Linked DNA regions of Oryctolagus cuniculus. The protein of the gene in region 2 binds, or shares a complex with, the protein of the main gene of each other region. Links are inferred from orthologs where the notes say so. Each region holds a gene or a part of one and is shown on either strand. Other genes may lie near its edges.

Region 1 (3,740 bases), on a different chromosome or scaffold from region 2:
TCTGCAGTCAAATGTGGTCCAAACATAGTAAAAGGGAAACTCCAGAGACAAGCACTGTTCTTAGCAGTGTGATGAAGTCTCTCACGGCCGTGCTCGGTCCTGCTGGATGTGCTACCCGCCCCTCAGTCTTCTCAGCGACCTCGGCTGTCAGAGCACTGCTGTGCTGAGGCGCCCTGGTTTTACTCAGTAATTGTCCCAAATGCAAGAGCAGGGAGTGTGCAAATCGGGTAAAGCAGAGAGAAGCTGTAAAATGCTTTCTTCAAGTGAAGTGGTGAAAATTCTCCACTTAATAAGCACAGGGAAAAAAACAGTGTGGTGTTGCTTCGACCTATGATGAGAGTCAATCCTCCACTCATGAAATCGTGTTGGTAGAAGAAGTTCCTGTTACTTTTACTCTCCCATCTCAAACTGCAAGTTATCACCACAGTGCATCCTAAGTGCTTAGGTAAGAACGGGAAGGCATTACATTTACGGTTGGGTATCACCTGCGGTGGAAGGCATCCGCGGAGGGGCTGGAAGAGTATTCTCCAGGGAGGAGCGGGGGACAAACACACTCCAATCTGGCACCTTTCCCACCACGCCACCGAAACAGCTCTTACCAAAGATCGACTGCATCTCATCTAGTCTGTCTTCACATCATCCACCTTTCACCACTCCTGCTTACAGCCCATTCACCTCCGTGCAACATTTTCTCCCTTAGCTTCTGCACTCTTTGCCGGGTCACCTATGCCGAAACTCCAGATCTGTACTAACCATAAGGCAGCCCACAAGTCACACTCACTAGAGCAACTGAAATAGGGCCGGTCTGTGAGATATGTTGGAAAAGCACAATACACACCGGACTTTAAAGACTGTTTTTTGGGGCTGGTGCTGTGGTGTAGTGGGTAAAGCCACACCTGCAGTGCTGGCATCCCTTGTGGGTGCCAGTTTGAATCCTGACAGCTCCACTTCCGATCCAGCTCTCTGCTATGGCCTGGGGAAGCAGTGGAAGATGGTCCAAGTCCTTGGGCCCCTGCACCCAGGTGGAAGACCTGGAAGAAGCTCCTGGCTTCAGGTCGGCTCAGCTCAGGCCAATACGGTCATTTTGGGAGAGAACCAGTGGATGGAAGATCTCTCTCTTTCTGCCTCTCTGTAACTCTGCCTTTCAAATGCATTCGTTTTGTTGTTGTTGTTGTTATTTTGAAAACTCAGTACAAGCTGAAAGAATATTTTCAATATGTTGGGGTTAAATAAAATGTTCATTTTACCCATTTAATTTTACTTTCAGAAGTGGCTACTAAAAAATTCAAGATTACATATGTGGCTTGCATTCTGTTCCTATTGGAGGGTGCCGCTCGAATCTGACGGCTGTTGTCCTCGCCCCTTCCCCAGGCTGGCTCACCGTCACGGGATACATAGCAGCATCTGTGCGATGGCCATCTCAGGGGCACACAGAGGTGCGCAGGCCAGAGTTCCTTCATGGGACAGAACTACTGGTGGGTGAGCCAGCAAGTGGACAAGGAGCAAGACTGATTCTGGAGTGCAGATTTTGGAGACTGGGCAATCGCCGAGCCCTCTAGATTACACTGCTTTGCCAAATTCAACCTTGGCCGGGATGGTCTCCGGTTTCTCTGGCATGTGTGCAAAGGAGTTCAAGAAACCCTAACGGGCCCTGTCTTTCTCCTTAAAGGTCAGTTTGTAATGAAGGCAACGGAGCTCCTGCCATCTTACAGGCCTTGTAACTCTGTCACCTTCTGATGGCTGGAAGAGATTACGAGTAACCTTTCCCTCCAGGACTAGGCCGATCAATTCTGATCAAAAATCGCTGGAAATGATGCCAATTACACTAATGCAACGGAGACACTGAATTCTGTCCCCTCCCCCCCACACTCTGGAAGAAATTTAGCGACAAAACGTTTCACTTTTTGAAAGTGTAGAAAATGGAAAGACTTGATTGCATTCCGGCCTTAGAAAAGAAAACGAAAAAGGGACTTGACCTCAGAAAAGGTCAGATGAGTTTGAGTCAATACGTAAATGAGGTATCAAAACTACTAACCATTCTATGAGCACTCCTTTCAAGACGTTGACCATCTTTGTCCAGCCGGAAGGGGCAGAGGATCTCAACCAAGCTAATAAAAAAGGACAAGGTGGACATGTCATTCAACAGCATCGACCGGAACAAGGCAAGCCACTCCCCGTCAGTATAAACAGCGAAGTCTATCAGAGACGAAGCTAACACAAAGGAGACATGCAGCCATTCTGAGCTTCTCACAAAACGGAGTCTGTCCGGAGCTGTCCACCACGCACACATACACCTGCGGCCGAACCCCACAGCCGCGCCGCGCCCCGGTACTCCGGCTCCCCACCCGGGGGCTTGACAAGGCTAAGGTCCCGGAGGGCGGGGGAGAGGGGGCCGCAAGACCTACAGGGCGCCCAGCCTCTTCATTTCGGACCTGAGACAGGGCGAGGACCCTAAGCCGCCGTTCTTCCCGGACCGGACCGGACCGGGAGGTCGGGGGTGGGGGGACACAGCCACACTGCGGGCTCCCTCCCCGGGTAAACCGCGTCCCCCAGGCTCCGCGCTCCGAGCTCCAGGCGCGGCGGGCGCCCCCTGACCCCTCCAACCGCTACCCCGGGGCCCAGGGCACGGACACCCAGCGCCGCGTCAGAGCGGGGCGCACTCTGGCGCCCCAGCACCTGCAGGACAGACTTTCCGATCTTTCTCCTCCCTCTCTTTCCGGGAACGCCCGGTCTCCCACGCACCTCACCCCGCCGGCTTGCCCCGAGCTCGCCACGCACCGCAGCCCACAGACCCGGCGGCCCCCAGATGCCCCGCAGCGCGCGCGCGCGTCTGCCCTGTGACGTCATCGCGCCGGGGACGCTCTGTGGGAGGAGCGCGCCGCTGGGAGGCGGGGCGCGCGCTGGGCCGCGTGGGCGGGGCCACAGGCCGGCCGCCGCCGAGTGGAGGGCCGGGGGCAGGCCGCGCCGGGAGGGTGGGCTCTCCGGCGCCGGGATTCCCGGTGAGCGGTCGGGGGGCGGGCCGTGTCCGCGAGCCGGCAGGTAGGAGGACTGGGGGGCCGGGCTCGTGAGGGCGGACGCGGGCGGCGGCGCGTGGGAGCACGGTGACGGGGCGCCCCAGCGAGGTCGCGCGGCGTGAGGGGCTCTCTCCGGTCCTCGGGGGCCGGAGTGTCCTCTGGCGTCGGCTGCCCAGCTCGGGGGGCGCCGCGCGGGGCTGCCCGCGTGCAGCCGGGCGTGGAGCCTCGGTCACGGCGGAGGGGGAGCCCGCGGAGATCCCGCCGGTGCCGACCCGGCCCGGGAGCGCGCGCGCTCTGAGGAGGTGCGGGCGCCTTGCGTTGAGTTGCACCTGCCGGGTGAAGTTCGTGCGGATTTTTGCCCGTTCCCCGCGTGGGCTCTTGTGGTCCAGCTGCGATCCCCGAGTCTTCACGTGCCTTGCGTCCCGGGGCGCTCGTTCCTGGCGAGTGCCCTTGGCTCTCTCTGCCTTGCGCTCCGCGTGGGCGGTGTGCCGGGGATTCGGGGTGCTGGCCCGATGCCCGCGCCGGGGGACCCGTTTGTAACGTGCACTCCACCGCTCAGACGGAGCTGCTCATCCTCCGCCCGCCCCCTCCCGTTAAAAACCTGCTTTTCCTTCCCGTGTCTCTCCAAGTCACCCAGTTTTAAAATCTGCATCCGCTGGATCAGCGAGCACTGTTGTGCACCTGATAGGTGCCAAACCGTGTTCTAGACGTTTGCGGTCTATTGGT
Region 2 (3,740 bases):
AAGCAGAGAGACGGACGATGTAATTACCAGGGCAAAGGCAGATCTGACAGATCCCAGTTTGGGAATTACAGGCAATCGACTATTTAATGTAACCTGATCTACATCCACTGGCCTCTTATGTGCTCTCACAGAAGTGCAGGCACAGGGCATATTGGGTAAAGCCGCCACCTGCAGCACTGGCATCCCAAATGAGTGCTGGTTCGAGTCCCTGCTGCTCTACTTCTGATCCAGCTCTCTGCTATGGCCTGGGAAGGCAGAAGATGGTCCAAGTCCTTGGGCTCCTGCACTCATGTGGGAGACCTGGAAGAAGCTCCTGGCTTCGGATCAGCCCAGCCCATGCCATTGCAACCATTTGGGGGAATGAATCAGCAGATGGAAGACCTCTCTTTCTCTCTGCCTCTGCCTCTCTGTAACTCTGCCTTTCAAACAAGTAAGTAAATCTTAAAAAAAAAAAAAAAAAAAAAAAAGTGCAGGCACTGCAGTGCAGTGGGCAGAGCTGCTGTGTACGAGGTGGGCATTCTGTATCAGAGCACCAGTTGGAAGAGGCTGCTTTGCTTCTGATCCAGCTCCCAGATCACTTTGGCTTCACCCAGCCCCAGGCACTGAGGCCACCTGGGGAGTGAAGCAGTGGATGGAAGACCTCTTTCACTGTCTCTCCCTATCTCTGTCTTTCAAATAAATAAAACAAACCTTAAAAAAAAGAGAGAGAGAGAGAGAGAAATGCAGGCTCGCTCAGAACCAGATATGCATGGAGGACAAAAACCATGGCAGGGGCCAGCGATTGTGGATTAGTGGGCAAAGCCCCACCTGCAGTGCTGGCATCCCATATGGGTGCCGGTTCAAGTCCCAGCTGCTCCACTTCCAATCCCTGCTAATGCACCCGGGAAAGCAGAAGAGGATGGCCCAGGTCCTTGGGCCCCTGCACCCACGTGGGAGACCTGGAAGAAGCTCCAGGAGCCTGGCTTCAGATCAGTGCAGCTCCGGCCATTGTGGCCATCTGGGCAGTGAACCAACGGATTAAAGACCCCTCTCTCTCTCTGTAATTCTGCCTTTCATATAAATAAATAAGTCTTTAAAAATTAATAATTGGGGCTGGCACTATGGCGCAGTGGGTTGACGCCCTGACCTAAGGCGCCGGCATCCCATATGGGTGCCAGTTCATATCCTGGCTGCTCCACTTCCAACCCAACTCTCTGCTGTGGCCTGGGAAAGCAGTAGAGGATAGCCCAAGTCCTTGGGCCCCTGCACCGTGTGGGAGACCTGGAAGAAGCTCCTGGCTCCTGGCTTCAGATCAGCACAGCTCCAGCCGTTGTGGCCATCTGGGGAGTGAACCAAAGGATGGAAGACCTTTCTCTGTCTCTACCTCTCTCTCTTTCAAATAAATAAAATTAATCTTTAAAAAATAATAATAATTTTTTAAAAAAGCATGGCAAATGAATGGAATCCTGCCCCCAAATCAAAATATTCTAGCAGCAAAAGACAGAGTTCTAGGCACTACCTGGGTGATTTAGAACCTGGGTCTGGGCAAGGGACTTCTTCAACCAAAGGTGTCCTCTCCCATGCTAAGGGGATTATCTCACTGAATAACTGAGACTTGAAAAACACCTCGGGCGCCTGGCCTGCACCGCGCAGTTAACTCAGAGGGTCTGACATCAGCTGGAGACTCGACTCCACACAAGAATTCGGGCTCATAAGTCAGACTGACCACGGTGCAGCCTTGGGTGGCAAACTTACCCTCCAGGAGGAGAGGAAGGCACCACCTACCTCCTGGGAACTCTCGAGAGCACTAAATAAGGCAAAATGTGTGTAAGTGAGAGGCGACTGCAGAGACGTCCAGGAGCCTGCCACCACCATGGCACTGGGCACCGCGTGTGTGCAGCCAGGGAGAGCTCGGCGTCTCGGCTTTCTCATCCATAAAAGGTCTCCTGGGAGAGGCCCCTACATCAGGACCTGCCGCAAGGGCAGGCCACGTGAGCCGGAGCCCAGGGGTGTGTCCCGAGGAAGTTAGTTTCTTCGGCCAAACCCCACACCTTACCTACCTCGGTCAAACTTCTTGCCTTCCGGGTCAATGTCTTTCACATCGAAAATGTCCTCAAACAGGATGCCCGCCATCGTGAGGGGGCCACGAGAGCAGCGGAAACGCGAGGAGCGAGACCACAACTACGAGTTAGCCCACTCTCGCGTGGAAAAAGAAGACACTAGAGCAAAAGGCGCCTGAACGCTGGCGGCAGAGCAGCAGGAAAGCGCATGCGCACCAGCTTGCAGTACGGCAGCCACTTCCGCCGCCTCCACCTCGGGGATTCTCAACTTCCGCCCCGATAGATTGCTGGCGAGGGAACACGCATTGAGGGCGTGTCTCCGAGCCAGGTGACTCCGCCCAGGGCGGGAACGCCCCAAGCACCACCTCTGGCGGAGGTGGCTCGGGTTATCGCGCTCCGCTGGGGCTCCGCTTCGCCCTCTCCAGAGTCCGGGCCCTGAAGCCTGGAATGCTTGGAGACTTAACCCAGGCCGAGACCTTGATCTTTGCCCCAGAGAAGCCGGGCCCTAGCCCTACCCTGCCGGTCCTCGTGTCCCCCGAGGGCATAGTCCGCGCCGGGGACGGGTGCAACAAAACTCCGCCCCCAGAGCGCTAGCCCAGCAGGACGTAATGCCTAGTCCCTCAACTGGCACCGAGGGCCCCCAGGTCGGCGGGGGCTGGCTCGGCCCTGCTGGACGTCACCTGAGCCGGGGCCGTCCAGGATATCACTCCGGGGGAAAGGAAAGCTGGCACTGCCCTCCTCTGGCGCTGCACCCTCCCCCCACCACTGCCCTCTTCCCCTGGGCCCTGCTCGCTCCTTCCGCCTGCCACAAATCCCCTCACACTGCCCTACCCGTTAGCAGTGCCCCCTCAGCGTGTGCCGCGTGTTCCCCCAGCACTGCCCTCCTCTTGGATCACTTTCCTGTCTCTTCCTCCCGGGTGCTGGCCCCCTTCTCCCACAACCTCCCTTCCTTGGCCTCCTGCCGCCCTCCTGCACGCCGCGTCTGCGCTCGCTATCTCGAACGCTGCCCGTGCACCCCGTGCTCACCCCACCCTCTGTTCTCTCCTTCCCCGGACCCTGATAGAGAAAGCCAAACCCCAGCAGGCCGTTTCCCCAAGGCGGCGAGACGTCAGCAGCTCCTGGGGTTTTCCTTGGGCCCTGCCAGGAGAAGCGACCTCTGCCCACCCCACCCCACCCCCGACGCCTGCCTTCCAGGCACTAGAACTCCCTTCCCTCGGGCCTTTCTTTCCCAGTCCCCTTGCCCGCAAAATCCGGCGGGTCCGGTATTGCAGGGGCACCTCCTGAGGCTAGCCCCGAGCAAGGGCAGGAGCCCAGAATGGCCCTCCGAATCCCCCGCAGAGGGGCCTTTCCAGGCCCGCCTGGGCCTCCAGTCCTCAGCAGAGAAGGCAGCTGCTCTCACGAATTAGCAGCCCTGCAGCCCCGAGCCCGAAGTCCTAAGCGCCCGGCGGCTCCGGTCCCTCTCCGCCTTGCACGGAGAGCTGTGGACCGGCTCCACGTGCCAGTGGCCCTGCCCCGCCCCGGCCGCGGGCGCCCCTCTCAGTCCTTCTCCGCCGGCAGGCGCGTTCCAGGCGCCCCCTGCCGCCTCTCCGGAGCCTGGGAGGCGGCCCCGTCGCAGACCCTAGCCGGGCTAGGCCGGCCCCTCCGGATGGGCTGGCGGGCGGAGCAGCGCAGAGGGCACCGCCCTCGGCCCGCCCGCCGAGG

The links.
Region 1: POLR2H (region 2) and GTF2H5 share a complex: the UniProt entries of both Homo sapiens proteins name them as parts of the TBP-based Pol II pre-initiation complex. The link is inferred for Oryctolagus cuniculus from reciprocal best matches to the Homo sapiens genes POLR2H and GTF2H5.

Annotation. Positions count from the first base shown.
Region 1 is NC_091436.1:9,584,919-9,588,658, forward strand, and holds the start of GTF2H5 (general transcription factor IIH subunit 5), read right to left. Parts: upstream 2,886-3,740; 5' UTR 2,743-2,885; intron 2,109-2,742; 5' UTR 2,071-2,108; coding exon 2,036-2,070; intron 1-2,035. UniProt on the Homo sapiens protein: Component of the general transcription and DNA repair factor IIH (TFIIH) core complex, which is involved in general and transcription-coupled nucleotide excision repair (NER) of damaged DNA and, when complexed to CAK, in RNA transcription by RNA polymerase II.
Region 2 is NC_091435.1:93,932,115-93,935,854, reverse strand, and holds the start of POLR2H (DNA-directed RNA polymerases I, II, and III subunit RPABC3), read right to left. Parts: upstream 2,624-3,740; 5' UTR 2,113-2,623; coding exon 2,040-2,112; intron 1-2,039. UniProt on the Homo sapiens protein: DNA-dependent RNA polymerase catalyzes the transcription of DNA into RNA using the four ribonucleoside triphosphates as substrates.